4 linked regions of the Alligator mississippiensis genome follow. The protein of the gene in region 3 interacts with the protein of the main gene of each other region in a biochemical or structural test. Links are inferred from orthologs where the notes say so. Each region holds a gene or a part of one and is shown on either strand. Other genes may lie near its edges. The genes, in order: mediator of DNA damage checkpoint protein 1-like, MAPK8, histone H2A and PPM1D.

Region 1 (8,011 bases), on a different chromosome or scaffold from region 3:
CCCTGGTTCCCAAGTTATTATAGGGCCTAGCTGTGACGGAGCACAGGGTGTGCCTGTCACCCACAGGGGTTTGAGCAAACAGCCCGCAGGTGGGAGTAGGCCCAAGCAGGTGGTCACATGTCAGACAGAAGGCTGCCTGATTGGTGGAGAGCCTGGGTATAAGGCAAGGCCCCAGAGCAATACAAGCAATTGCTGCAGGGGCTGAAGGAGCAATGTCACCCAGCCAGCTTCTGTTCCTGGAACAGCTTGGAGGTACAGAGCAGGGACTAGGGATGGAGGAGGTTCCTAGAGCTTAAAACTATGCCCTGCTGAGGAGGATGGTGCAGTGGGGCAACTTCTAAGAATTGCCACACTTGTGCCTCCCCAGTGAAGCGCGAGTATGAGGTGCCAGAAAGCCTCAGCCCCTGCTGCCGTGTGGGTGACCCTGTGGAGGGAAAAGGCTAGGGGAGCACACCCCAACAGAAATGTGCAGGGCCAAGGCCCACTGTGTGGAGCCTGAGGTGGGGTCCAGGCCATGAGAAGGGGGCCTGGATGCAGCCTAGGTACACTAAGTGAGGCCTGAGGCTCACTAAGGAGCCGGGTGTTGAGGCTCCGGGGGCCCAGGGAGTGAGGGCTGCAAGGTGGAGGCCCAGGGATTTCTAGACCGGGTGACGCCAGGTGGTACAGCTCAGCAAGGGAGTCAGGAGCATTTGTGAATGTCAGCTACGAGGCATGGGATACAAGGGAAGGCTCAAAGCTGTGTATGCGCCCTTGGCAATGAAATGGGTAGCCTCCCACCTGGGAAAAACAAAGACATCAAAAGTGCGGCAGGGGAGGCAGGTGGGTGGACTGCCCAGGACAAGTGAGCGGGCCAATGTTTACACGCCCTGGACTGGCCCACTTATTACACTGCCACAACGCCAGCCCTAGCCCCTTTGTTATGATAGGACCTTCAAGAAGTACCAGCCTCAGCCCCGCCCACAGCCATCGTCTTATTGTAGGGCCTACAACCATCTCCCTTCCTCCCCCCCCACACACACACCAGGGAGCTCCCTGTTGTTACAGGCCCTACCAAAGCCTCCAAAGCCCCCTTGTTGTTATAGGTCCTACCAGAATGCACCCAGCTCCTTGTATAGGCCCTACCAACCCACCCACCCAGCCCTTGTTGTTATGGACTCCACCACCACCCCTGCCAGCCCTCCTCCTACAGGCCCTACTAAAATCCCCCCCCATCCCTCATGTTATAATGGACTCTATCAAACCTCCCCACAGCTCCCTTGTTGTTTATAGGGCCTACAGTAACCCCCACCACCATCCACTTTGTTACTGTAGACCCTAGAAAAACCTGCCACTCACCTCCACGCCATCTTTTTTTCTTCACCTCTGACTCCTGAGCCAACTGGGCCCCAGCACCCATCCTACGCCTGCATGGGGTTGGTGTCTCCTCCACGGTCAGACAGTGCAGGGGGGAGGCTGCAGATTCCCCAGGGGGCAGCAGGAAGTACTGGCAGCCCACGTCGCCAAACAGCAGGGTGTCGCCATGGGCCAGAGCGTAGCGGACGTGGGGCTGGAGCACGGCACGGCCGCGCCGCGTGCGATTGAGACTGCCACGGTCCCAGAGCAGGTGTGGGTATCCAGGCCCAGGCCTTGGTGCTTCAATCACTGCATGCAGCTTGGACACGGAGGGCACCGGCAGGTGCACGGGGCAGCTGGGGAGACGTCCGACCACGTTCTCACCAGGGTAGATCCAGATGTCTGCGAGTGAAGGGAAAGCCCAGGTGTCTGGGAAGGGTCCAGACTCCCACCCCTGCCAGTGCATACACACATGCACGTGTATGCACACTCAACCCAAGCATCTGGGATGCTCACTTGCACAGATGGACACTCCCGCAGCCCTCACAACACAGACTCTTTTCCAGAGAACCTAAGTGTCCGGGTTGCCAAACCCCTTGGTCTAGCTGACCAGGCCCCAACTCTCCTCCCAGTGCTGGGAGAGGACCCAGGCTCCCAACCCCCTTCTACTGCCCAACCACACATACGTGTGCATGCGTGTGCACCACTCCTCTCCCATAAAACGCAGGCATCTCAGCTCCCAGCCCCTCCCTGGTCTAATCCACCTGCCCCCGCTCCTCTCCCAGAGGATCCAGCCCCCCTCCTCTCCCCTCCCAGGGAACCCAGCCGTTCGGCAGGCTCTCCCCTGGGGACATGAGCCCCACATCTGGCCCCAGCTGGAATGGGCTTGAACCCCAGGAAATAATGCCTTTGTCATGAATCACCCTGGACACCAGCTTCCTCAGGCAGTGGGGTTACCCCCAGGTGCCGGGTTCCTCGTATAGCGGGGTCCCCACCCCTGGCACCAGTCCAAAACCGTGTCCAGTTGTGGCCCCCCACTCCAGCAAGGATGTGGACAAGCTGGAGAGAGTCCAGCGGAGGCCGATGAAAACGGCTGGGAGGCTGGGGCGCACAGCCTGCGAGGAGAGGCGGAGGGAACTGGGCTCATTGAGTCTAGAGGAGAAAAGACCAAGGGGGGGGATTTGACAGCAGCCCTCAACTCCCTGCAGGGGGGCTGCAAGGAGGGTGGAGCCGGCTGGTGCTCAGTGGGGGCAGACGACAGGACAAGGAGCGAGGGGCTCCAGGTGCAGCAAGGGGTCCTGGGGACGAGGCGGTGGAGTCTCCATCCCTGGAGATGTTTAAGACCCGGCTGAGACGGTCTAGTTGGGGCTGGTCCTGCTGGGAGCAGGGGCTGGGCTGGACTGGACTGGACTGGGCGTCCCTTCCCGCCCCCGCACGCCTGCGCCCAACGGACATCGGGGCTCCTACCTCTCTCCGGGCCGTGGCGGCCCCCCAGCACCCGCAGCCTCCCCACGGGGCGCCCGGGGTCCGCGGGGGCCTCGTCCTCCTGCTCCTCCTCCCACTGCAGCAGCTGCGTCTGCTCCATGGCCCGGGCCGTGCCGTGCCCTGAGCCCCCGCCACCTCGCCCCGCCCCTGACCTTTGACCCAATCCCTAGTTCGGGGGCGTGGCCCTCGATCCCCCCCCGTTCCCGCCCCCTGGTGGGAGCCGGGACTCGCCGCCCACCCCTGCCAGGGCCCCGCGCCCGGGCGCTGGAGCCACGGAGCCCGGACGTGGCTGCCTAGAGAGGCTCCATGGGACCATAGAGAGGCGGGCTGCGATGAGCTAGAGTGCCTAGCTCTCTGCGGTCCTCCACAACATGGAGGCCAGTGTGCAGCATAGAGTGCGGAGATAGCGGGCTAGAATGTCCACACGGGGTCCTCCCCAACATGGCGCCCTAGCACTCCTACCACACCAGTGACCATAAAGATACCTCATGCAGCACGCCCAGGGACATTAAGCACAAGGGTGGGCGGGTAGAGTGACTGCCTTCGCCTGCCACAAAATGGCCGCCGCCTGGCCATAGAGAGGGAAAGCTAGAATATACACATTTGGTCCTCCAGAGTGTCTTTTTCCTCATTATCCCCACATTCATTAATGAGAATGACCTCACTTTGCACCATTTTTAGCCACTGAGGAAGCCTGGGCCTCTGAGCAGCACCTGGGCCGAGCCCGACCCCACTGGAGCTGCCCCAGAGGCCCTGTTACTGTGAAGGGGCATCTGGCATTGCCAGGCAACAGTCTGGTTACTAGGGCTGCCCTGGGTACCATGAAGGGGCATCTCAGGGACATCTGGTGTTGCCAAGCAACAGGCTGCTAACTAGGGCTGCCCTGTGTATCCTGTGTTGTGTCCCAGTGTTGCTAGGAGACACGAGGGTCATTCCAGTGTTGCTAGGCAGCCTACTGGCCAGGGGCTGCCCCCAACCATCCAGGCCTGGGGCCACGGCTGCTTCCAGCTCACCTACCAGCCCCCCATGCTCACCAGGGGACACCCCCCCACCCCCCCAGAGAACCCAGGTGTCAATCGCAGGGCGGGCAGGGCCAAGAGCCGGGGGGTTGGGAGCCCGGACACCTGGGCCCTTTGTGGGCTGGGGGAGTTGTGGGGCAGGCGGAGCTGAGAGCATGGACTCGGGGTCCTCAGCAGGGGAAGAGGGAGCTAAGGGGGTGCGGGGTAACAGCCCAGAGGGATGCCTGGGATCTCTGGGCGGGGGTGGGGGCTGGGGAACGAGAGCAGGGGGAAGCTGGGAGCCCGGTAGGGTGGCCAACATAGAGGACAGTCCGGGTGTCCTCTATTGATACACAACCGGACGCCTTCTTATCCTATATTTTTGTCTTGAAGAAAACCAGAATGTCCTCTATGATGGCCCCGAGAGCTGGGACACTTGGGTGTCTCCCTCCCCCCCTCCCTCAAGGGTGGCTCTGGCCCTACCTCTGCCTCACCCGGGGCTTCTCTCCCTTTCCAGATGAGCCGGAGGGAGCCCTTCTGCCCACGTGTCTGGGACGCAGGCATCCAGTACCCAGGTATTCGGGACAGACGGAAGGAAACGCAGAAGCCCGCGGTTCAGGGTACCCAGGTAGGCGCCTACTCAGAACCCAGGTGTCCGGGAGAACAGCCCCCCCTCCCCCCGCACAGATCCTGTGTCCAACACTGCCCCCTTCCAGGTGCCCAGGACCCAGATGTCCAGGCCACCAGCCCCCCACTGCTCCCTTCCCCCTGAGAAACCAGGTGTCTGGGATTTCACCGCCCCCTGCTCCCACCTACCCCTCACAGAGAACCCAAGCATCTGGACCCTCCCAGAGAGCCCAGGTGTCCAGGGCCCGTGGGTGCACACTCCCTCCCTGGAACCTGTGTCTGGGGCCCACCCAAGTGTCTGCCATGCACTCCCAAATGGCTTTTGATACCGTCCCCCTCCCTCCAAGGTATCCAGGGCCTGCACACAGAGGACCCAAGTATCCAGTACACACAGACAGACAGATTCAGGGAGCCCAGATGTCCAATGTGGGCAAGTAACCATGCAGACTTCTCAAATGCAAGACCCATACAGAGAACCCATGTTTCCAGGATTCCCACCCCCAGTGGACTGAGGCCACAACAGAACCTACTTTAAAAAAATTTCCTGTTTTTATGCTTTCACAAGATGCCATCTTTTCAATATGAGAAAAGCTGTTAGGGGAAAAAAATAAAACAGAGCAGAGCAGACAGAAGGAGAAAGAAAGACAGGATGGGCATGGAGGCTGTCAGCTTTGTGCTAGTGCCAGGGGTGGGGGAACCCACAGGGTGTGGTCACGGCACCATGGCCACTGCTTCCCTGGCTTCCCCAATCTCTTCCTCCAGGGCCAAGCTGGTCTGTTGAGTTCATCAGGGCTGAGAAGTTGCCTGGAACAGGGCTGTCTGGAGCCTGGAAGCTGGGTTGTGGGATGGCAGGGCCTGGCCCAACTCTTCCACGGTGCCACTAGACACTGGTGGCATTTCCTAGGCTTCCCCCTGTAACCAGATCACAGCCTTTTCCTTTCCCCCCCTGGACCTTCCATTGGGGGTGAACAAGGGAAGAAGACCCCAGCCCCACTCTACCCCCTCTCCTCAAAGTTGTTGGCCAGAGAAGAAGTCTTTGGAGACCCTCAATACCCCATGGCTCTTCTCTTTCTCTCCAAGGAAACAGAGCTGACTGGGTTGGCCTAGGAGCACCCGTCTTTTTTTGCTTGGTTTGCTCTCAGTAGCCTGAAGATGGTCTTTGTCTTCTCCCCTGGGTACATTTTTCACTGTAGGGCAAGGTTTGGGGGACTAAAAGCCAACTCAAAACGCAAGGGGAGGCACCTGCATGGTAGAGCAAGGTGCTGGACCCCACAAAATAAATAGATACAGACTCCCCAGGGAAGCTACTACCCCAGCAGAAGCCACTCTGGTTACATGGGCACCAAGGAATTGGGCTCTCCAAGGAGAAAGAGGGAAGATAGGCCCTCTGACAGCTTCATCATCATCTCCATTTTGGGTGGGGAAAGAGCAGTTCATTCCCTAGGTCAGGCAACAAGGAATTCTTCCAAGACTTTGAGTGCTTTCCAAGGTACCCTTGCCAACCAGCTGGGCAGACCTGAAGGAAACCTCTCCAGAAGAAGCCAACTGAGAAGTAACTCATCAGTACCATCCACCTTAACATGGAGGTGGGTCTTCAAAGGTGGGGAGACTTTCTCTAGTCCTGCCAGGACTGTTTCAACCCTTCCACTGTGGTTCATTTGAGTCTCGTCAGGGCAGTGCCTGTGAAGGAAGAAAATGGAGTCCACACATCCCCATGCCCTTCTCCCAGCCTACTTTTCTCACACCCAGAAGACCTTTTGTTTCTCCAGCTTGGGGCCCTTCCTTGAAAAGCCTCCCCACCCCCTCTAGCTAGAACCAATATTTGGCCTTGAAGAAGAGTTCCCCAATGGAGAACCAACATTGGGACATTTAGGAACTTCCTCAGATAAAACTGTACTCAACTCTCCATTTCTCCAAACGAAAGAAGAGAAGATCACCACTCTAGGCACCAGGCACACAACTCTACTTTTTCTAGTTTTTAACGTACTCAACCTTTTTTCATCTTGGTGCCTGCCCTGGGCCCAAGGCAGTCCGGGGCTGGTGTGGGGCTAGGGGTGGCTGTTTATCAGGGGCCACCGGTGCTGGGCAATGACCCCGGGCATGGGGGAAGGGGCAGCTGCACGGGCGCAATGGGCCCCAAGCCCAGGCCCAGCTCTGCTCTGTCCCAATGCCTGCCTGGTCCCAGCCCCAGCCCCAGCCACCCCATCCACATGCTTTCCCCTCCCCCCACAGACTTTCCCGTGGGCACATGCAGCTCCCCCCACAAAATTCTTTTTCTCCCTTTGTGTGTACATGCGTGTCTGTGTCCAGCCAATCTCACTGACAGTGGGTTGTCCCACCAACCGATCACTGTGGCCCCTTCCATAACTGGCTGTGGCCACTTCTGGGAGCACCACCACAGCACTCCCCACCCCAGCTGGCGCTTACAGCGGGGGCACCAACGCTCCTGTCTGCCCCCCCTGCCCATCGCCTAAGTGGCAAGCATGGATGGTCAGGGGGTGCACTTTTGCTCTCAGGGAGTGCATGTGCACCCCCATGCACTCCCTAGGAGTCACCACTATGTGCATGCATGCACGTGCATACCTGTGTGTGCGTGCGTCTATTCATGGCAGGAGATAGCGTGTTTGTTTCTGTGTGTCAATGTGCAGAGAGTAAGTGACAGTAGTATGCGCCTCTGTGTGTGTGTGTGTGTGTGTGTGTGTGCGCGCGCGCGTGTGCATGTTTCGCCATAGTGGAACAGGGGAGCAGGGAGAAGAGGGGAGCATGTACCCCCCCACCCCCAGCCCTCCCTGCCAGCACCAGGAGGGGAAGGGACGATGCTTCGCCCTCACCTGACCTCCACCCTGTCATTCTTGGTGAGCAATTGGCTAGTATACCAATAACAGCCGAGAGGCATTGGGCGTGGTAAAAGGACAATTCGGAGCCACGCAATTAACCCATAAGGCTTTAAGTGCCCTGCCAGGCACAGTTGATTGCAGGGGCCTAGCCAAGGGCCTGAGAATATAAAGGCCCAGCCACAGGTTTGAGGCCAGTACGACCGGGGGCGTGCAATGGTCCATGGCCAGCCTCCCTTTATATTTATTTATAATCCGTAAAGGTGTGGCAGGAAAGATAGGGGGCATGCCCTAGAAGTCAAACAGGGCATGGTCACAGAGCCACCAGGGGGCATCACAGCCACCCCTGGTTCCCTGACCTGCTACACTATAATAGGGCTGGGGGGGACGGGGGTAGAGTCTGTAATAACAAGGAGCTGGGCTGGAGGTTTGGTGGGGCCTATATAAGCAGCTGGGTGAATTCTGATAGGACCTATAACAACAAGGGGGCTTAGGCAGCTTTGGAAGGGCCTGTAACCAGGGGGCTGTGTGCTGGCAGGGGGAGGTTAGGGCCTATCAGAACAAGGAGGTTCAGGGGCAGGGCTGAGTAGGCTCTACAAAAAGGAGGGGTGTGGGGGTGGGGCTGGGGCTTCTTGTAGGTCCTATAATAACAATATGGGCCAGGGCTGGGGTCATGGCAGGAACTTGGGGTTTTGGTAGTGTAGCAAGTGGGCCATCCCAGAACCAGTCTAAAAT
Region 2 (7,520 bases), on a different chromosome or scaffold from region 3:
ATGAACATGCGTCAATGTGATGAAAGCGATCAACAAGGCTAACCACACTTTATCATGCATTAGCAGATGCATGATGAACAGGTCCAGGGAAGTGATGCTTCCCTTCTATGCGGCACTGGTCATGCACAGTTGGAGTACAGTACTGTGCCCAGTTTTGGGCGCGGCATTTTAAGAGGGATGCGGAGAATTTTGAGAGGGTTCAGAGGAGGGCCACTCGTATGGTTATAGGCCTGCAGGCAAGGACCTACGAGGAGAGACTGAGGGACTTAGATCTCTTCAGCCTTCGCAAGAGAAGGTTGAGAGGTGATTGTGTGGCTGCCTATAAATTCATCAGGGGAGGGCAGCAGGGAATAGGAGATGCTCTGTTTACTAGGGCACCCCCTGGAGTCACTAGGAACAATGGCCACAAATTGACAGAGAGCAGATTTGGGTTGGACATTAGAAAGATCTTCACAGTAAGGATTGTCAGAATCTGGAATGGGCTTCCAAGGGAGATGGTGCTCTCCCCTACCTTGGGGGTCTTCAAGAGGAGACTGGACAATCACCTAGCTGGGGTCATCTAAACCCAGCACTCTTTCCTGCCCAGGGCAGGGGGTCAGACTCAATGACCTACTGAGGTCCCTTCCGAACCTAAGATCCATGAATCTATAACTTGATTTTTTATTTGGATTGTTATGTGAGTGTATTTACCCTCCTGTTTACAAATCAATAAAACATGTGTGCGCTCTCTCACATACTTCCTAGGGATAATCACCTGAAAAACCATTAATTACAACTTTGAAACTGCCAAGCTTGCCTAATATGGTATTGGCATCCATTCATTGTTACTAATGAATTTTATGAAATCATGAATTTTTAGAAATGGAAAATGTCCCACAGAAAAATAAAGCACTGGAAAATTTTCCGCCACACATCTCTGTTTCAGAATGAAATATTTTTCCTAGAATATCTAACTCCTTTGCCAAGTGACATACTCCTATGCTCCATTCACAATCCAACCACCACCACAGACACATGCTCCATGCATGCCACTTCACCCTGCTCATTGTTTCCACGTTTAAATTAGGGTGGGCACCAACATAAAAAGTGGTACAATAAAAATAATGCAGGCAATAGGTTCATCAAATTGCTACTTTCTAGTAAAAGTGTTTGACATTATTTAAAGAAAACAAACACACATGGAATGCTGTGTGGTCCTACATCAGGGGCGGGCAATTATTCTGGGCGGAGGGCCGCTTACTGAGTTTTGGCGCCATCATGATAGGCAGCCAGGGGCAGATAAATATTAATTTTCTAAGTTTCTTAGGGGCCCTGCAGGTCAAATAGAAGGGCCTGGTGGGCTGCATCTGGCCCCCGGGCTGCATTTTGCCCACCCCGTCCTACATGCTAGAATAGTGGTTCTTATCCAGAGTGCTGCAAGACCCCCTCAGGGGTGCTGTGATGCAGTCTCTGCTGCCACAGCAGTTGGTAAAACTGCCTTGCATGCCAGGCTGTAATAGAAGCACTCTTCCTGCCTTAGGGCGCTCTGATAACTCTCTTCCCAGTCTACTTCTGCCCCCCATGCTCCTCCTGGAAAGAGACGCATAGGCCAGGTCCATCTCTCCACAGGTCTCTACTTCCAGGAGATGCTGTACCCAATCGGACTGGGAAGAACTGCAGCATGAACCACCTCTATTGTCTGCTTTAGTGTTAATGGAGAACCTGAAAGCAGGAGGAGCATCTGCATGTGCCACAGCCCTTCCCAGTCTGGCTACCCAGCAGCTGCAAAGGGCCCTTTTATTTGGCAGCAGCAGCACCCGGTTAGGAACTGAGGCAAGATGAACACAACAAAGGTTCGCAGCTGGACATGCTGCTATACTCAGTAGCTCTGGAGGGATGCCCTGACTAAAAAGGTCAAGGATTCCTGCCCTAGACCGACAGGAATTTGAAATGTGTCACCTATCTGAATCCCCTTGCAAATAAATCAAAATGGTTGCCTCAAGAAATTAAAATGAATCACTTTCAGCAACACTTTCAGTTCAGTAGCTATTACATACTTTGTAGCATACAGGTACGCAATTTATTTCATCTATATACTTATCCATGAAACAGCCAACAAATTCACTTCGATGGCAACCTTAAGCAGCAGTTTGACCTCCCTCCCTTCAGGCTACCTTTGGAGTCATTTAAAACATATTAGTGAAAGGAGGGTATACCAGCTGATGGATGCAAAACAAACCAAGGCAAAGGCCACTTTCCAAACACCTGCCTCACCATGTCATACTTACTTCACTGTGAAAGTGAAACTATCTTTTGCCCTATTGCTACTAGTAATCTGTATGCCTCTACAAAAAAGCAGGCTGTAGCAAAACACAGATCAGACACTTTTCCCAGGGCAATTAATCGTTTTCCTTTATAAAATAACCTACGGTTGGTTACCCCATGATCAGGCCAAGCTAGAAGATGTTTTTGGGGCAGGCTGGGAAACGTCTGTGCTAGTCTGGTCTGGATGTTCTCTAGGATATAACACTCAAAGTAACCCCGCCCGCGGCCCCCCCGTCAGAGAGAAACGGGGCAAGCGGCGTTCACATTTGAAGCTGGTCCCGGAACCCCCAAAGCAGAACCCCCCCCCGAACCGGTGAAATCAGAGGCCGGAGAGCGGGGAGATGCTCAGGGCAGCCGGCGGCAGGGAAACGCTGCAGCGCGTCACCGAGAGGAAGATGCAAAGCCCCCACACGGCGGCCAAGCTCCGCCGCAGCTCTCAGCGCGCCGGTATCGCGGGGGGGAGGGGGACACGACCGAGAGCTACGGCGCGGCCTGAACTACAGATGTCACCGGCTTCAGGCTGCTGCAGCCGCCGGCCTCGGCGCGCACCGCAGCGGGCACCACAACAAAGGGCCCCGCGCCCGCATCGCTCCCCCGCGCGGGGATGCGCTCGGGATCCGGCTCCGGCGGCCCCGCCCCCACCTCACGGGGGCCGGGGCCGGGGCCGGGGCCGGCTCCGGCCCCTCCCCCCACAGCAAAACATAAACAAAGCGGCCGAGCCGCCGCCCGGGGGTCCCCCCCACCCGCCGCGGCCCACGCCCACCCGCCCGCGCGCCCGCACTCACCTCTCCCACCGCCGCCGCCGACTAACGAGCCGCGCAGGCGCACACGCACGCCCCGCCCCCCTGCGCCGGGCACGCCCCGCCCCCGCGGCCCAGGCCCCGCCCCCCACGCCCCGCGACCGCAGCGCTCACGACGGCCCCGCCCGGCAGGGGCTGGACACGCCTCCGCGACCTGCTGCGGCTCCGGCTCCGGCCCCGGCCCCGGCCCCGGCAGTGGCCCCAGGCCGCCTTTTGTGCGGGGTTGTTCGGTGGGAGCGGCGCTCCCAGGACAGGGAGGCCTGCAACGAAGCAGAGAGAGGCGTGAAATGCGCATTTATAAATCCCTCCCTTCCCCCCGCTCTGGACTTTATGCATCGGGATGTGGCAGCCCGGGGCCTGCCTCAAGGCCTTGCGGGTCATCTGCAGGGACCAGAAGGGCTGTTTTCCCTCTGGAAAGCTGCTGCCCCCTGGAAGAAGGTTTCCCCGGCCTGGAAAGAGCCACACCTAGGGCTGCTCCTGCCCATCTGGGAAGCTCGAGCCCTGCTACAAGGGTTGCTGGCTGCTCAGGGCAGGGTGGCTGTCGGGGTACCTCAAGAACAGAGGACAGCTGCATTTTGTCCCCGCCACCATGAACAGTCATATGCCTCGCACGGCTGGGGGTGCACAGTGGTGACAGTGAGCGGGGAGCTCCCACGGGCAGCCACAACCATGTTGGTGGTGGGGGGGTGCCGAGAGGTGAAAGAATAGAGGACACAAAGGCATCCGGTTTCATATCGAGGACAGAGGACCAGAAAACTGGACCGCCCTCTACAAAACCAGACGAATGGCCACCCTAGCTCAGGGCCATCCCGGTTGCCACATCTGAGTGGGAATGAAGTTTTCCCCTTGGTCAGGCTGAGGAGACCTGTGCAGACTTTGCTCTTCTCTGTAGCATGGGGCTTTGCTCTCCTCTGTTCTCAAGGATTCTCTTCCTGGGATTTGTGTGTGTATGCATTCCCTCATTGCTTTGGCAGGGCAGTAGCAAAGTCCCATCTTCTCTGCTTTTACCAGCTGCGTGCTATGGTGCTCTTGGGACCATAGGCAACACACCGGGGGACACAGGCGGGCGATTGGCTGCGGGTGCCCCCCCGACTCAGGAGGCACCAGTCACCCATGCTTCAGGCTTTAGTCTTGTGCCTTGTAGTTGTGTGTGAGGGTTTAAAGCAAAGATTTGAGAGAATCCTTGGGTAAATGGTTGCTTGCAAATGCAACAGACTGGGCTTGAAAGGCCCCTTCCAGTCCTGTGTTCTTTCAGGGACCAGGGTTTTCTCTCATCACTAGTCAGGGTATAGCTCCTGTTCAGTATGCAGGGGTGGATCCAGGCAGAGGTGCACTGGTACACAGACAACCCCGCACTCCAAATTCCTATTCCACCCAAAGGTTAAAACCAACTGCCTGGCAGTGACAGCAGCATTTTGAGTCAGGAAGTGCTGAGGGACTCACTTGATTTTATGACTCATTATAACCTACCTGATCCCTGCTAAACTCTTCATGCCACAGATATTAATGCCCTTCTCTTCTTTTTAATGGCCTGGATGTTCCATCAATCATCCTCTGTTCTGCAATTCTGCTGTCAACTAGCTGCTCCTGGTAATGAGGCTCATATTTCACAGACCTGCAAATTGTTTTTAACTCATTCCAACAAAATTATATTTGTTTTTGCTTCCATCTTAACCTGAGTAAAACAGCCCTAGGCCCCTAGCATATTAGTAAAGCTTCTAGTTCCTTCTTAAATGGAGAAAAATGTGTGTTGTTTTATATGTAATAATGCACCTCACCATCTGCACCGCCCTTTTCAAAATTCTAGATCCATGTCAGTGTGTATGTCTACTACTCCAGAGCCTGACAAAAGATCAGTATGTTTATCTGCTGCTCTTTTCCCCCTTCCTTACTTTTGTGCTTGTAGGATGGCCAGTTGCAATGTGAATGAGGCATCTGGCGACACTGTATGACCTGCATCCTATGTTTAATTCCTGCCTGTGAAACATTTCAGACAGTTCTTTCTGGACTGAAGCCAGCGGTAGACAGTCCTTACTACAGGTGCTCTTTGGTTTTCCTGTCCAGTTCCTTTTGAAACAAGTATCCTTTTCTGAATTCAGCTTAGACTTTCAATCCACTCCCACTCTGCCTTTCTGTTGAGTTGCATTCAAAGAACAAAATAACATTTTCGGAGGCCTGCCCTAAATAGTATCTGCCAGTGCTTCAGTATTCACCCAAATAATTTTCCTCCGCTTCTAGCCTTCTTTAATTACTTTGACACCTCTGACCTTTGATGCTTTTATTATTTCAGTGCCTGTTATTTGGCATATTGTCACTTAACTGTGATGTCTGGAGTTTTTTTGGAACTAAAGATTTCTAGTTCTTTTGCATCCAATATGTTACCATTGTTAATCTTCAGTGCCTGCTTCCGTACAAAAGTATCAAGGTCTTTAGGTGTCAGTACTTGACTCAGCTAATTTCTTTCTTTGGTCTTCCAACATTCTCTATGCCATTTCATTGATTGCCTTTCTTGTAGGAACATCAGAGCTTAGGATATTGTTTAGCAGCTGCAAGTCATATCAACTGGAAAGAAAGAAGTCTGTGACAAAAACTTTGATTGACAACTTTCTTGGAGATGAGTAGTTACTTCTCTACAAGGCCAGATTTCCTTTTGTTAAATTCAGTAAAGTTATCTCATCATACAAGTTATTGCAGTATCACCAAATGTACCACACATTGGCTATTTGACCCTCTATGACAGGGTCATCAAATGTATCTGTCTGTGTGGGCTAGATTAGCGGAACAGGGCTGGTTCCTGGGCTGGATCAGGCCCACAGACCCCCATCCCCCCTCCCACATGTCTGATCCAGCACGTGTGGCACTCAGAGTGGCCTGCGATGGCAGCCCATGTGACTGCTGCCTGCAGTGCACCCTGCAACCAGCCCCAATGAGTGCTGTGAGTGGTGTAGCCAGGGACCCAGTCCCAGCAAGCACTGCATGTGGCTCAGGGCAAGTCCAGTACAGCATGTAGGTCAACAGGGCAGCACTGGGAGCTGGATTATGGAGCTCTGCAGGTCAGATTCAGCCCAGGGTCCACATATTTAACACCCCTGCTCTGTGCCATCCTAATGAAACTTGAAGTCACCAGTGCCTTTGTTCATGTGATCAGATTGAGATTCCACAGAATAGGCTGATGCCGTTTTTTTAGGACTTTGACTTCTGGTAGCATAATTCCAAACCCTCTGGCTCACCCCCTCAGGTCCACATTTTTCTCTGCTCAAGTGGTGTCTGGGTACCAATATGTGACAGCCTAGCTGGTAGTGATTTGGCCCAGGGGTTTTGAAAGGGTAAGAAATGATTGGAGAGCTTGGGAGTCCCTTTCCTCACCAATCAGGCCCCAGAGACTCCCCCTCCATGTCCCCTGACTGGCCCCTCGGGTCACCTGGGGGGGGATAAAAGGGGCAGTGCAGCTGACTTGGGAAGACTAGTGAGGGACCACAAGGAAGGAGTTTCAAAGAGCTGGCAAGAGCTGGGCCAGCGGGGTGGGAGCAGTTGCCCCAGAAGAACCTGAAGGAGTGGGAGCTGCAGGCAGCAGTTGGACCCTCAGCAGTGCGGCATGCAGCTGGCAAGAAAGGCTCCCTGCTGGGCTCCAGGATCCCCCTACAAGAGGCTGCAGCCAACAGGAGAGGTTCCCCAGCTCCAGCAAGAAGCTGAGCAGTGGCCCGAGAGGTTCCCAGCTCTGCTTCCAGCTCCTCCAGCCAGAGGCAGGGCAGCTTGACATGACACAGGGGCTCCTGAAAGGTCAAAACCCCTAGCAGCTTGGATTAGTTCTAGTACTGGTGACTGTGTGATATGGTTTCTGCCTATCATGTGGAAAATCTGAGTTCGTGTCTCAGCTGGAATGAGTGAAGTGAAAGTGAGATTTTTTGTCACAGTGGAGGGGGTCATTGTGTTTTCCCTCTTCCCCCCCTCCAGATACCTATGCCCTCTGTCTCTTGTTATTTGATGTTTTGTATTTTGTGCATTTTATATTTCACCAACCAGTATTGTTTGTTGTGCTGTTTGTGTTTTATACTTTGTTAAACCTGTCTTTTGTCAACTTGATGAATATGTCTATGAATGTAAATGCCTAACCTTTATTGAATCCCGCCCCCTTGGGGCATTGTAGTGCCCCCTGTACCCCCTGGTTTATACATGTTATGATCCCACTACTGTTTTTCCCATTAAAAAATATATGGTTAAGTACCCATTGGAGATCTGGCTCTGCTCTATAGGGGAAGGAGGGTCCCTATAACTCCCACAGCACTCGTGCACCTGCTCTGATCCCTTCAATTGGAGAGGGGGTACATCTTGGAGTACCGCCCAGGCTACAAATATATGACTGATGATCTTCTCTGGTAACTATTTGATTCTCTTTAAGATGGTTACAAACCCTGA
Region 3 (6,430 bases):
CTTTCACTCAGAGAATTTAATGAGTGAAACTTGAGAGATTTTGATTATTGACTTAACTGCAACAGGCACCAATTTAATTGTATTTGAAAACCATTTGGTAACCTGTTGCCAGATAGAATCAGTCAGTCAGGAACGGGGCACGTTTATGTTGAAGTTCAACATCAGGAAGTTAGCTTCTAAATTAAAAGTCAGTAGAAAGTTTAGACTTGAGAATACACACAAGTTGAACTTTACTAATCTTTCCAGATTTAGTTGCCAGTTCCTTCTATAAAGACCACAGATGGGACTGTACTTTCCACTGGTGAGTCTGCATCTGCTCCAGAACGCACCAGTGCCTTCTAGAAACATTTACATTGCATTGTACAGGAATCCTGCTCTGCAAGTGAAAGTTAATTGTTTACATCTGTGCAATATCCACTGAATGTAACAACCACTGAATAGCCTAAAAAAGTTCTAATTTATGTTCATTTAAGATGCCTTTCCTCAGAAGGAGGGTTGACATTTACACTGTTTCTAGCCAAGTGGTAGGTCCAAATAAACCCTTCACATGATGAATGCTTTCTGTCTGGAAACTGCTTGAGCTATGTGCAAATCAGAAAACAAACTACAAGGACAACTAAAGCATATACAAAATGGGAGTTTAATCAACCAGTAGGGCAAGCCTCTATATACAAAGAACACACTCTGTACTGTTTTCAGGTAACAGAAGAATATAAGAAGAAGCTTGGAATGGTGATAAGTGCTATACAAATTAAGGGAGAAGCTGAATGTGAGGCTTATCCTGGATTCTCTTTAGAGCAGAACAAGTTTGACTTCCTTGCCTAAATCCAATCAATAGAAACAGATAAGCCCAGGAAATCCTGTAAGATGATCCTTATTACACTGAAAACTGCTATATGAGTGGCTTTGTTTTTTTAGCAGGCTGCTTCTTCACTGTACGCTGTTAGAGAAGAGAATATCTGACATCTGCCACGTGCAGAGGTGAAGCCTGGAGTTTGGCTGCAGTCAGTCTAATGGGGGCTGTTCTGCCAATGGAGCCTGTAGCCATACCTAGAATTTGCTCCGGCTGGGGGACGCGGGAACAGTGAGGCTCCTGGGTACCGCATCTTTGTCATAGAGGACAAATGTTGCTCACTGCAGAAATTGAGCTAGGCTTAGAGATGTTTTCCAGCTGGCCACTCAAGACAAAGGCTCCTGGGGGGTGTGAGCTTTCTTCTTGGCAACATGAACAGACAAAGGAAAGCAAGTTGTGGGCGTTTTTCACGGCAGTCGCGGCCCCGACCCCGAGCCGACAGCACCCCGTGGTCCGGGCGCTCAGTGCTGGCCTGTGGCCGCGGGCAGAGCGATTCCTTTCCGCCCTCCCGCCGCCTGGGGCGGTCGCAAGCGGCTGCAGCGCGGCCCCGAAACCTGCTTTGAGCAAAGCTTTTGCGCCAAGCTCCGGCGACGTTACCACGCGTCGCGGCCCCGCCGAACCGCGCGTAACGGGGCAGGTCCCCCCGCGGATCCGCAGCTCTTTCTCCGGCCGGGTGGGTGGCCCTGAAAAGGGCCGTTGTGGGGGGTGAGGAGCGGGAGCGCTAGTACTCCTGCGACTGCTGGGCGCCGCTCTTCTTGCCGGCCTTGGCCGGGCCGCCGCCCGCCTTCTTGGGCAGCAGCACGGCCTGGATGTTGGGCAGCACGCCGCCCTGCGCGATGGTGACGCCGCCCAGCAGCTTGTTGAGCTCCTCGTCGTTGCGCACGGCCAGCTGCAGGTGCCGCGGGATGATGCGCGTCTTCTTGTTGTCGCGCGCCGCGTTGCCCGCCAGCTCCAGGATTTCTGCCGTCAGGTACTCCAGCACGGCCGCCAGGTAGACGGGCGCGCCGGCGCCCACGCGCTCCGCGTAGTGCCCGCGCCGCAGCAGGCGGTGCACGCGGCCCACGGGGAATTGCAGCCCCGCGCGCGACGAGCGCGACTTGGCTTTGGCGCGGGCCTTGCCGCCGCTCTTGCCGCGGCCGGACATGGCGCCTGCGGGCGTCACCGAGCCAGGCTCCGGCGCAGACTGGGTCCAGCTGCGCTGCGCGCTCCCTTGTAGACTCCGCTCCGCCGCCGCTCTCGCCCCATTGGCCGACGCGGCCGCCCGCGCTGCGATTGGCCGCGCAGAATGGGCGCGCTGGCTTATTGGGCACCGTTGAGATCCGGCCGGGCTCTCATTGGCTGCTTCTGTGAGCCAATGGCAAAGCAGGGCGCCAAATTCAAACCGCGAAGAGCGCACGGCCATTTCCGCTTTAGCGGCCGGCGCGGCAAGCCCCTCCTCTCCCCGCCCCGCGGCCGCCTCAGGGTGAGTGTCTGGCGCGGCCCCGCGCGGGGCGGCTCCCCCCGCGAGCCGGCTCGGAGCCCGCGGCGTTGGGGCCTGGTTTGGGTGCACGAAGCGCCGCCCCTGCTCCTTCGGGGCCCGGTGCCTGGCGCTCCCGCCCGCTCGAGCAGGCAGGGCTCCTTGCTGGAGCTGCGCTTCTCCAGCAGGAGGGCCCCCGAGCACCCCGGGTAGTTCTGCCCTCCCCTCCCCTCGGGGAACCGTTTCTCGCCAACGCTGTGCTCGTGCTTTGGGCAGGGCAGCGGACCCTGCCCGGCTCAGGAGCGGTTGATAGCCCGTGTCCTATAGCCCGCATTAGCTCGAGTATCCAGGAGCCTCGGCTGGCCCAGGGCTCAGCGGGCGCACGCTGTGGTGACACTGCCCAGCCCCCGGGAGACGCACGGCTTATGCACAACACGGGAAAGGAGGCCGTGAAAGCTGGGGGAAAAGTCCCCCGAGATTTATTTTCATTTTAAACGGACCGTGGTAGCCTGAGGCTATAATCACTCCTTATAATTCAGTTCAAGTCATAAGGACAGTACAACAGGGATGTTAACACTGGTGTCCTAAATAAAGTCCGATTGAGTGAGTCGGTTCCCGTACAGTTTTATTTCACTTCAGTTGTTCTAATGCTTTGTCATTTGAATGACATTATTTTCCCTGTATAAATAATAACTGTAAAGCACCGTCGTGCTGAAAAAAGTGCAATGTGAAAATGAATTATTTGAACGAAGGGAAAACCATTAGGACCAGGGGGTCTGATGGCTGCTAATGCACAAATAGGCGGAAGGTGTTTTTTGTTTTTATAATTGATGAGACATGTGAAAGTGTGGGTATTTTGGTGCTAGAGGTGCCATGGGTCATAGAGCAATGTAGGTTAGGGAAACTGCATGACCCTTCAGCAGGAAAAAATGTCAGCAACAATGAAAAGTGGGAGAACAGATGCTGCAATAGAAATGACCATTCTCTATAAGAGGGTGTCATAGCAATGTATAATTGATATCGTTTAATTGTGTTTCAACATTTTATCCCTGTGGCAGAGAGGAATGGGAAGCTATTCTGTAGTCAGATTACACGACCTGAATATCTTGTTTCTGAGTTGTAGATAGGCTGAAAAGTGGATTATTCCGTATCTGTGGCAGAAAGATGAAACTGGAGAGGACTGTCCGGTATGTAGAGTTCAGAAGAGATTGCAGGCATTGTTGCAGGTTTATCCTTTGCATATTTCAGGCAAAACAATGTATTTCACAAGATGAAAGGAACTATGGCTGATCCTCCTCTACCTCTACCCCATCATCTTGGCCAGAAGACTCAGATCATACTTATGTCTTTGCACATGCAGGTTAGTCCCACTCATTAGGAGGTCTAGGAAGTAATGATGCTTATATAACTTTAACAGCAGAATCTGTCAAATTCCTGCTGTTTCCAACCAAGGAGGAAACAAACAAACAAAAAAAATTAGATTTGTGTCCCAGAGTCTTTCCTAGCATCTGGAAGGCAGTCCTGAGATGTCCAGGGCCAACACAGGACCATTTCAGCCATCTGGATCAGAACCAGAGAAAATAAGGGACTGATTAAGAGGAGCTGGCACTTCCCTTTCTCCTGACATCTGTCAGACATCGTAGAATAAGCGCACTAGCTGGTATCTGATCAGAAATGCAATTGTGCTTCCCAGAACCTAGAAAGAAGAAAAAAAAATTGCAATGGTGAGTTGACTGCCACTTGGACAGTGCCTAGCCCTCTGGAAAGCATTTGGGACTTAAGCACGTGGTCTGCCTAAGCGAGACAACTTAATTAGAAATGGTGCTATTTGTATGTGTGTGGAGGGGGGCATGATGGGTGATGAGAGTTCCTTGCAGTGCTCTTTAGAGAGGATCTTTGTAATGGAGTCACAGAGGGGAGAGGATAGCCTGTGTGCATACATACAGAGTTGGAATAGGCAACAGAGATGCTTGTCAGGTCTTTACCATTTCATGCAGAGGTGGGGAGCAACCCAGGAAGTAGAGGAATGGAAAGGGAGACATGAGACATAAGACAAAGCTAGGGGGAATTCAAATGTCCCTTAAACCAGAATATTCTGCTTTGAATGTGCTATCTATTAGAATAGGGCAGTCCAACTTCTGGACCCTGGGGGCACCACAGATCCCTATGGGCTGCATGCAGCATGGGCAGCTCAGCTCCTCTCCCTCCAGCCGCACAGGCAGCCCAGGCCATTCTACACAGCTCTCTCTGCCCAGCCCCCGGGAGTGAAGGCAAGACACAAGCTGGAGGGGAAAGAGGGAGAGCTCAGAGATCCTGACCATAGCAGCAGGAGTGATTTGGGGGGTTGGGAGAGGATGGGGGACAGCAGGGGGAAGAGAAGCCTGCATGCAACCTGTGGGACATCAGTTGGACAGCCCTGTATTAGGGAGCAGGCTTTTCTATCCAAAAGACCATTTGCCTGACCTGGATGAGTAGCAGCAGGATGGTGAGTGTTTGCTCTGGGGTTGGTCCAATGAGCTTTATAACAAAGTTAATGATAGTCATGTTGTTGCATTCTGTGTATTCTCCATCTTCATCCACTCCCCGTCTTACATCTACAATGCGCAAGCTCTCTGATACCTGGGAAAGAAATTTAACCACCACTTAACTGGATGAAATAGATATTTGCTAGTTAGGGTCTGGTAGGGATGTGATAAAAATTTCTTCCATACATCCTAGTCAGTGATCTCTTCTACTGTTCCAGTCCTGGGGTTTGATTCAAGGGAACAGATCTAGGGACAGGTTTAAATCAGGCCTTATGCAGCTAAGCTTCATTTTGGAGGGATTCTAATAAATGTGAGCATCAAGCATTGGGGTCAGACTACAAGAGGCCTGTTTTGGTTTGGTTTTTTTTACTAAAGTTCTATGTTGTTCGGAGGAAATGACTCAGGCTAAACAAAGGTATTATCCTTCTTCAGATCACAGCGGCTGACTGACCTTCAGAATGCATGCTCCCAGGGTTGAGAGACTCTTGGTTTTAAATTTGAAGTAGCTCATTTCCAGTTTCCCTGTAGCAGGATTTAACCTGAAAGGAACAGCAAAATGCACTTCAATCATACCAAAAGAGACAACTGAATCCCTGCATAAAGCAGAGATAGGAGTGGTCTAAAAGGAGGTGGTGCCGAAAGTGGGAGTAATTCTATGAATGTGACAGTCCTGACAGTGCAGCAGCCCGAGCCCATCACATGGGGCAGAAATGGGAGAAACCTTTTTGTTACTACTTTACAGAAGCTTGTATGGATCAAAAAGCAAGGTAGAACATGCATGGTGTAGGTAGGGACTATCTATGCTGCAAAAACTGCCAGAAGACTGCATTAGAACAGCCTCTCAGCTAAGCAGCCACAGTTCAACCTCACCCATGTGGTTGGGAAAATAAAAATGTGAACTAGTTAGCAACTCGAGTTACAGCTCCAGCTTTGCAGGACTGTAAAATTATTTCTTAATGAGGCTAGAAAGAAACCCACATGCCATGACTCAACCGTATTAGGCGAGAGCTGTATTTAATTCAACTTGATAGGTAACCTAAGCTTTTTGATGGTATAAAATTGGAGTACAGTTCTGCTAGCGTTCATCAGGGCACTAGTTTGTACCCTCTGAGAATCAGGTAGCTATACATTGAGCAATTTGGGCTTTTATGCTAGGCATTCAGCTGGAGAGTTGTTTGCCAGACTGCTTTGACAGGGCAGCAACTTGTTCCTTGACATTCAACTTTTTGCCATACAAAAAGGTGTTTTCATTTTTTCAAAATTAAAGTGTGAACGTTGCAGAAAACAGCAACCATAAAATCACAAGATTTATTCAATTTATGGCTATGCTGTTCCCGACCACAAGGAAAGGTAGTAATTACCAAATAAAATTCTCCACAGCTCTGGTATCTTTCTCAATCCTAGTTGGTGAATAAGGGCTACATCTCCATTTTCACTCCCTCCCCCAACCACAGACTACATTATGTCCATTAATACCCTCCAAAGATTCCACCGAGACTATTCCACCTGCGTCAGCCCTAGCACCAAGCCAGAACCAAACTGCCTCACAGGTACTGTCACATTACTTCTTACTCTCAGTCACTTACATGCTTCTTA
Region 4 (8,137 bases), on a different chromosome or scaffold from region 3:
TAGAGCAGGACACTGTGTGTAGCACAGGTCCCAGACCAGCTAGGGCAAGTGCAATACAGATCCCAAAGCATGTGCTGCAGACAGTGGATCCAGCATGGGGGGTTTGGGGGTGTGGTGGCGCCTCATGTGAATTGTGAGGGCTACGCAATAAGGCTTCATCCAACCAACATCTCTGTCAGGACCCTTTTCTCTCTTTATATCCCCACACCCTTTGTATACTGGCTTATTATGTCTTTGGTAGTTTCCTGTTTCTGGCCGAGTTGGACAGAGCTTTGTAGATCTCTAGAGTAAATGCAAGAGTAAACTGACAAGTAAGGATGTTCTTTAGTTTGCTGCATAATCTTCAACAGTTCCACTCCCATATATTTTTAAGTATTTGTTCTAGCTGTGTCCAGTTACACAACAAAACCACACCCACTCTAATTTGGTTAAATACTAGTTTCTATGGTGCAATGCCCTGATTGTAAGCTAATAGCAATGGGCAGAGAGCATTTGAGCTGCATGTAACTTCCTTCTGAATTGTCAGACATTGCATTCCATTGGAAGCACAAAATGACATTGATGTCAAAAAGGAGGGAGAAAAAGAAGCATCTTGGAATTTGTCAATCACCTTTTCATCCTCAGCAATCAGGGCTCGCGGTAGAGGTGATATCTTTTATTAGACCAACAGGTTTTTGCAAAAAAAGTTCTTTAATTGCAAGCTTTTGGGCTTTTCATCCTCAGGGAATTGTTTTACCCTTTGACTTTTCCCTATTTCTGTTATCACAAGTATAAAAGTATATATAAAGCGCACCAGCGGTGGGCTCTGTTTGTGCCTTTGCCCATGACTTGCTCCCTTTCTGTTAAACGTTTTGGAAAGCACCATCTCTACTTAATAATCATTTTTACTTAATAACATCCTCTGTTCCTACTCCACATATGAAACTGCAGTATTTCATTACTGATTTTTCACAGGTGTTTTGAGACTTTAATTGTTCCTCTGGTGAAACAGACCCTGATGGTATTATTAGCCTGTCAGTTTGTTGTCACTCACTCCAAGTCAGGAGTACTGTTTTCTGGCTGCACCCTGATAATAAGATCTATTTCCCCACCACAGTGTCAGTAGTGATGGACTTAGTTATCCTTATAAAGGAATATCAACTTTGCAATTGTTTGGTTGCATTTATCTGTTAACCAAAAAAAAAAAAAAAAAAAAGGAAATAGTGATGTATTGAGTTTTCCAGATAGTAGAAAATTTTTCCAGGTTAGTCTTTGCCTGCCTTGTTTTGTTTTGAATATGATATGATTTTTAAGCAATTTTATACGAGGTGGTCATGAAGACGTATTCTCTGCAAGTTAAAGCAGAAGGACTTCTGGGTGCTGTCTTGGACCGATCACACTAACATGTGATCTTTTGTACATAAATATAATGGCTCATTGTCTATATACCCAGCTGGAAAATACGGAGAAAATTCATCTAACCAATTCCGTGTAGATTACTTTGTTAACATTTTGTAATGTGTTTTGAGATGCTCAGATTCTATAGAAGTTTCAAATATTATTGACACGTTGCCTATCTTCATAGCAAGCGGCTTTCATCCTATTAAAGAATTAAAAACAAGAATTATGAACTACGTACGGTGCATCTGCCAAGGAATTAGTCATCTCCATTTTACTGATATCGGAAATATTACTTGCAGGCAAGCTCTTTTAATTCAACAATATTGACAGCATGCCTGGCACATCAAGGTGCTACAGGACTACAAAGTGATAGCAAGGTATAAATATACAAGTATCTAGCACAGTTGAAGAACTCTTTCCAGCAGGGAACATATCTTATTCTGTATTTTATAACCATTGGTGTAAACCCCGCTCCAACAGCTCTAGCAATCCTTGGGAACCTACAGTGCAAAGGCCCTTGAATGAATTCTTGATGTGAAAAGGGGTATTAGTCAGGCTTCAAATAAGAGGAAAGGTAAAGGCATCAGAGATTGAAGGGGGAGGTGTTTAGGATGCATGTAGGAAAGGGTAAATGATGGGTCACTCACGTAAAAGTGGTGGTTAGAATTCTATTTGAATAATGTTGCTTCCCATCTGAAAAGGACATGAACAGTTGTGGCACTAAAACAGTTGTGGCAAAATAATATTTGAATCTTCTATGGCAAAATAATATTTTAATCTTCTAGATTTACAGAAGGGACCTTGCAAAGTCATCGACTCCCTTCTCCTATTCCAAGGCAGGATCAAATATATGAATGCCATTCTTGACAGATATTAGTCTAGCCTCGTCTTTAAAACCTTAATTGAGGACATTTTCACAAATGCCCTTGGCAATTTATTTCATTGCTTGTCTTTCTTTATGGTTAGAAAGATTTTCCTGTTGAAATTTTAGCCCATTACCTTGTGGGTATAGAGAATAGTTTATAACCTTCCTTTTTACAGGACCTTTTATATATTTGAAAATTGCCGTTACATCTCTCCTAAGTCTTTAAACTAAAGAAACCCAAATTTTTGGATCCCAGTTTCTGTTTTTCCCCCCTAGGTCTGAGGATTTTTCTCTCTCCTTTCCAATCAGTCCATGTTTTTTTTTAAGTATGGTGCCCGTATCAAGACTCAATACTCCAGCTGACTCTTACCAGTGTTGAATAAAGTGAAAAGACACACGTGGTGCATCTACACATTCATTAATGCACCATAATTACGGCACGTTAAGTTTAGTACCTGTAATTACAGGTACTACCTTAATGCCTGTAATCAGCGCCACTGCGTATTAGCTGTGGCGCACACTTTTTTTGGTGATGCTAATGTGCAGTAGACTAATTCTACTGCGCATTCGGACAGATTTTGCCTGCCACACTAACGTGTAGTAGAATTAGTCTGCTGCGCTCTAAGCTCTTACTTCAGCTTGAACAACCCGATACTCTGTGCTTTCCCTCCCAGCAATATAAGATGCAGTAGCTGACTCAGTTTGTGATTCACACTATCATTCTTCTGCTGCTTAGTCAGTCCTTCCCTTTTTTGTATTTGTCCAGTGGATCATTCTACCGAAGCCTAATACTTTGCACTTATCCTTAGTGCATTTCACCCTCTTCATTTAAAATAAGTTCTCCAACTTGTCAGAATCACTTTGTAATCTAACCCTGTTCTGTACAGTGCTTGCAGCTCCTCCCTGCTTTGTGTCATCTGCAGATGTAACAAGTACGCTCCAAACCCCACTCATGCATGTCGTTAATGAAAAGACTGAGGAGTGCAGGTCCCCAGACAAACACTCCAAGACCTCTCCCAAGCCATCCTTCCAGCAAACCATTTACAATTCTTACATCCTCTATGGGGGCAGAGGGTTGGGACTGAGGGGCACTGGGTCGGACCTGGCCATTGATGTTTTCAAATGCGTCTTGGTACAAACAAGGTTGAGAACCACTGTTCCAGACCAGTGTTATTCAACCCGTGGGTTGTGACTCCAAAGTGGGTCACAAGCTTGAACGCTGTGTGCCTCCGGAGGCTGGGGGGGCATGGCAAGCTCGGGGTGGTGGTAGCAGTGGCGGCAACGAGTGGGGATCTCCCGCAGGCGGTAATGTCAGCAGTGGGCTGAGTGGGGAGCTCCTGCAGGCGGTGGCAGTGTCGGTGGTGAGCTGAGCGGGGAGCCCCTGTGGGTGGTGGCAGTGTTGGTGGTGAGCCGAGCGGGGAGCTCCCACAGGCGGCGGTGTCGGTGGTGGGTTGAGTGGGGAGTTCCCGCAGGCAGCGGTAGTGTCAGTGGTGGGCTGAGTGGGGAGCTCCCGCAGGTGGTGGTGTCAGTGGTGGGCCAAGTGGGGAGCTCCTGCAGGTGGTGGCAGTGTCGGCAGTGGCTGAGTGGGGAGCTCCTGCAGGTGGTGGCAGTGTCGGCGGTGGCTGAGTGGGGAGCTCCTGCAGGTGGTGGCGGTGTCGGCGGTGGCTGAGTGGGGAGCTCCCGCAGGTGGTGGTGTCAGTGGTGGGCCAAGTGGGGAGCTCCTGCAGGTGGTGGCAGTGTCGGCGGTGGCCGAGTGGGGAGCTCCTGCAGGTGGTGGCAGTGTCGGCGGTGGCCAAGTGGGGAGCTCCTGCAGGTGGTGGCAGTGTCGGCGGTGGCCGAGTGGGGAGCTCCTGCAGGTGGTGGCAGTGTCGGCGGTGGCCGAGTGGGGAGCTCCTGCAGGTGGTGGCGGTGTCGGCGGTGGCCGAGTGGGGAGCTCCTGCAGGTGGTGGCGGTGTCGGCGGTGGCCGAGTGGGGAGCTCCTGCAGGTGGTGGCAGTGTCGGCGGTGGCCGAGTGGGGAGCTCCTGCAGGTGGTGGCAGTGTCGGCGGTGGCCGAGTGGGGAGCTCCTGCAGGTGGTGGCGGTGTCGGCGGTGGCTGAGTGGGGAGCTCCAGCAGGTGGTGGCGGTGTCGGCGGTGGCCGAGTGGGGAGCTCCTGCAGGTGGTGGCGGTGTCGGCGGTGGCCGAGTGGGGAGCTCCTGCAGGTGGTGGCGGTGTCGGCGGTGGCCGAGTGGGGAGCTCCTGCAGGTGGTGGCGGTGTCGGCGGTGGCTGAGTGGGGAGCTCTGGCAGGCGGTGGTGTTGGTGCTGAGCTGAGTGGGGAGCTGCGGCAGGCATTAGTGTTGGCAGTGGGCTGAGTGGGGAGCCCCCATGGGCGGTGGCAGTGTCGGTGCTGAGCCGAGTGGGGAGCCCCCGCGGGTGGTGGCCGTGTGGGTGGTGAGCCGGGGGGGGGGAGGTCCGGCAGGCGGCGGTGGCCGAGCGGGGCGGTCCCGCAGGTGTCTGCGGTGTGGGCAGTGGGGGTGAGCCAAGCGGGGCGCTCCCGCAGGCGTCCGCGACAGCGTGTGGAGGGTGGGAGGCGTGGACCAGCGGTGGGCGCCCCCCGCGGCAGCGGCAGCGGCGCTGAGGGGCTGGCCGGGAGTGGGGAGCGGTGCCGGCCCCGGGCGCTGTTGTCGGGGGCGCAGCGCCGCACGAAAGGGTGGCGAGCCGAGTTGACAAAGGGGTGCCTGCGGGGCGGGGCGGGGCGCGAGGCGGGGCGGGGCGGGGCGGGGCAGGCGGGCGGGTTCCGGCGGGTTGTGACGGAGCGGCTGGGCTGGGCTCGGCTGGGCTCGGCGCGGCGGGGGGCGGTCGATCGGTTGGTGGGTCTGTCTGTCTGTCGGTCGGACATGCCCGAGCGGCGCCTCCCGCACGAACAATGGTGAGCGGCCGGCGGGAGGAGGACGGCGGCGGCGGCGGCGGCCCGGCTTCCCCGCGCCCCATGGAGGCGCCGTTCGCGCTGGCGGTGAGCGTGTTCTCGGAGCAGGGCGGCAGGAAGTACATGGAGGACGTGACCCAGATCGTGGTGGAGCCGGAGCCGGAGCCCGAGGAGGAGGCGGCGGCGGCGGCGGGCGAGGCCAGGCCCCGGCGCTCCGCGGCCTTCTTCGCCGTGTGCGACGGGCACGGCGGGCGGGAGGCGGCCCAGTTCGCCCGCGAGAACCTGTGGGGCTTCATCACCCGGCAGAAGGGCTTCTGCTCCGCCGAGCCGGCCGAGGTGTGCGCGGCCCTGCGCAAGGGCTTCGTCGCCTGCCACCGGGCCATGTGGAAGAAGCTGCGTGAGTCGCGTCTGCCTCCCCTTCCCCTTCCCCAAGCCCTCTCCCGCGGGCCCAGCTCCCCCGCTGCTCCGGGGCCCCTTCCCTTCCCAAACAGCCTCCCTCCATCCCTCCCTTCCTGGCTGCTGCGGGGTGGGCTGCCCCCTGCAAGCGTCCAGACACAACGCCTTTGATCAGAGCAACCAGTGTTGGCTCGGGGCGGATTCAGGGCAGGGGTCTCATGGGGGAGCTGGGATTCATCTGGTCAACAACACAAGTTGGGGGGGCTCTATGTGAAGCAGCACAGGTTTCTTCCCCCCCTGAAACGTCATTGAAAGAAGGGGGAGCTTTTATGCTGGGTCGATTTCTACATGATAATGAAACAAGAGATGTTTGGGGTGAGGTTTTGTAAGCAGAGCCCTTTGTCAGCTTATAAGGTGCAAATCTCCCCCGCCTTTGCCCGGATGCAGATAACTCGGTCTGCTTTCTGATCCGGGTCTGCACTGGCCGCTGTCTGCGGTTCGGCCCGTCCGGTGCCGACGGAAGAATTCAAAACATAGGCTGATGCTGGACGATGGTGATTGATGATGATTTTGACCAGCTGGAAACAGGCCACGCACCCCTGGAAACGTACAGTGCAGTCCCTGAGGACTGTAGAGGCTGGCTGGTTAAATTCATTGTGGCCCAAGTAAGGATCCTGAAAGGGAGAGTTTGACAGGACCAGGATGCATGTTATCCTCCCTCCTGTTCGTATCTTCGACATCATCAGAGCACCTTATTGACTAACGTGTTAGGCCTAAATTCAGACCAACGCTGCTAGCTACCTCTCTGTTCGCTTCCTGGAAGTAAGGCTACAAAAAATGAGCTTTTAAAAATACCTTAAATATGTTGGTTGTGGCTTTTTTTATTTAATTTGGTTCCATACAACAGCTTGGGGCACGAAGACTAGCAGGCAGAGCAGTGTCCACCATGAGACCGCGTCAAAGGTGCAGGCTTGAATCCTGAAGGCCGGATCTGGCAGGCAGTGATAAAAAGTTAACGATTCAAGGAAAGCAGAGTTATTTGGAGAGGCAGTGACTGAAGCAACAGTTGAAATCTTTCGCGAAGACACTTAGTCCAAATCAAGGCTGTTTAGGGGTCAAGTAAATACCTGGAAGAGCCTAGAGGGAGAGATTGGTAGAGTAGGAGCAGGGATTAGAGGGGAGACAAACTGGCTCTTGGGTTAGAGAGGAGGCGATGGCAGGGTGTTTTTTGCTTTGTTTTTAAGAAGTGTCCTGGAGAAAGTGGGAGAGCTTGTTCACAGATGTGATGGTGGGGAGTGACGTGACTTCACCCCAGACCTGGGGCCTTTGTGATGTGATAGTGTCATAATGAACCTAGAGGAAGTGGAGGGAGAGGGTTTGGGGAAGAAAGATTATGAGTTTGGTTTTCTAGTCTATGGTAACCATGTCTGGTTGTCACTGCAAAAATAAAAAGCCAACAAACATGCTGTTGATTGGAAATACTATTTGTATTGGTGTGTAGGGAGCAACACAACTTTTGTTATGTAAGTCTCAAACTGTTGCTAGAGGACTGCAAAACTAGAGCTCTGACTGCTTGATGACTCTGTCTGAGTTCTGCCGTAAAGTTTCCTCCCTGATTTCTGTATTGCGTGCAGCCATGCACGATTTGGCAGCAGGTGCAATCCCTTTTTTTAACTGGATAAAATATTAAAAACTGATGTTGTCATGTCATTTCTGTTACTTGGATACTGAAGAGAGGGGCTCATTAGTTGGGTTAGTCTGAATGTTGCATCCTCCCAGACTGCTGTTGTTAATTGTGTGTTGACAACATGATGGAAGGTAGAAGAAGGGTGTATGTTTTATGTTTGCCCTTTCACACCATCTGATGAAGTGAGCTCTAGCTCACAAAAGCTCTTTATACATCTAGTCTGTAAGTGGCAGATCTACCCTGCTTTCTGTCTGATTTCAGACCAGCATGGCTAACTATATCTCTCTGCTTATACATTTTGCAATCTGAAGATGGACAAGAGGCAGTTACGATTTGGGATGGGAACATACTGATGTGGTTTTTCTTTATCCTTGTGGACAAGCTAAGTAAGGATTTCTGCGTGGAAGAGGGTAGTAACTAGCTGTCGTATAATTTCTTGGAGGCTGCCAGGATTTTCAGTAGCTTTGGTCCAATGATGGCAGCGCTTGGATGTTTCTGCTATGGTGATCAGACGAGCATTAGTTACACAATTGCCATTATTTTTTTAGTCTTAGCTCAGTCGGTATGAATAAAAAACAATGAGGAACCTTTGCTGCTGTTTCAGGTTGGCTAAATGTTTTCAACACATGATGATGTATAAGTTCATTTTCTTGGAGACTGTCCTCCCAGCTAATAAGGCTAGAACGATACTTAAAAGAAGACTACTAGTGAGGTTTCAAATTCAACAAGAGGGCTAAGAGCCATTTCCAGTAGAGCCGAGTTACAGCACACACAGTCCCTTGGTGTGGATTACTATATATGCTTCTCAAGTAGAGATGCCTTCAGAATAAATATCACATTCAAAGCCATTTTTATTTTTCAGTTTTTCTTATTATACTTTAGATCAGGGGTCAGCAACCTATGG

Evidence for each region.
Region 1: the proteins of histone H2A (region 3) and mediator of DNA damage checkpoint protein 1-like form a complex in vitro, tested with the Homo sapiens proteins (5 studies listed by BioGRID and IntAct, with this or other methods). The link is inferred for Alligator mississippiensis from reciprocal best matches to the Homo sapiens genes H2AX and MDC1.
Region 2: the proteins of histone H2A (region 3) and MAPK8 form a complex in vitro, tested with the Homo sapiens proteins (2 studies listed by BioGRID, with this or other methods). The link is inferred for Alligator mississippiensis from reciprocal best matches to the Homo sapiens genes H2AX and MAPK8.
Region 4: of the proteins of histone H2A (region 3) and PPM1D, one has a biochemical effect on the other in vitro, tested with the Homo sapiens proteins (3 studies listed by BioGRID and IntAct). The link is inferred for Alligator mississippiensis from reciprocal best matches to the Homo sapiens genes H2AX and PPM1D.

What each region holds. Positions count from the first base shown.
Region 1 is NC_081834.1:57,359,365-57,367,375, forward strand, and holds the start of mediator of DNA damage checkpoint protein 1-like, read right to left. Parts: upstream 3,002-8,011; 5' UTR 2,918-3,001; coding exon 2,800-2,917; intron 1,735-2,799; coding exon 1,336-1,734; intron 1-1,335. UniProt on the Homo sapiens protein: Histone reader protein required for checkpoint-mediated cell cycle arrest in response to DNA damage within both the S phase and G2/M phases of the cell cycle.
Region 2 is NC_081829.1:21,154,842-21,162,361, reverse strand, and holds the start of MAPK8 (mitogen-activated protein kinase 8), read right to left. Parts: upstream 3,147-7,520; 5' UTR 3,090-3,146; intron 1-3,089. UniProt on the Homo sapiens protein: Serine/threonine-protein kinase involved in various processes such as cell proliferation, differentiation, migration, transformation and programmed cell death.
Region 3 is NC_081839.1:35,289,097-35,295,526, forward strand, and holds histone H2A, read right to left. Parts: upstream 2,057-6,430; 5' UTR 1,998-2,056; coding exon 1,575-1,997; 3' UTR 622-1,574; downstream 1-621. Other genes in the region: DPAGT1 (UDP-N-acetylglucosamine--dolichyl-phosphate N-acetylglucosaminephosphotransferase), read right to left, coding at 3,940-4,005, 4,773-4,928, 5,286-5,373. UniProt on the Homo sapiens protein: Variant histone H2A which replaces conventional H2A in a subset of nucleosomes. Nucleosomes wrap and compact DNA into chromatin, limiting DNA accessibility to the cellular machineries which require DNA as a template.
Region 4 is NC_081837.1:4,651,911-4,660,047, reverse strand, and holds the start of PPM1D (protein phosphatase 1D), read left to right. Parts: upstream 1-5,043; 5' UTR 5,044-5,150; coding exon 5,151-5,547; intron 5,548-8,137. UniProt on the Homo sapiens protein: Involved in the negative regulation of p53 expression. Required for the relief of p53-dependent checkpoint mediated cell cycle arrest.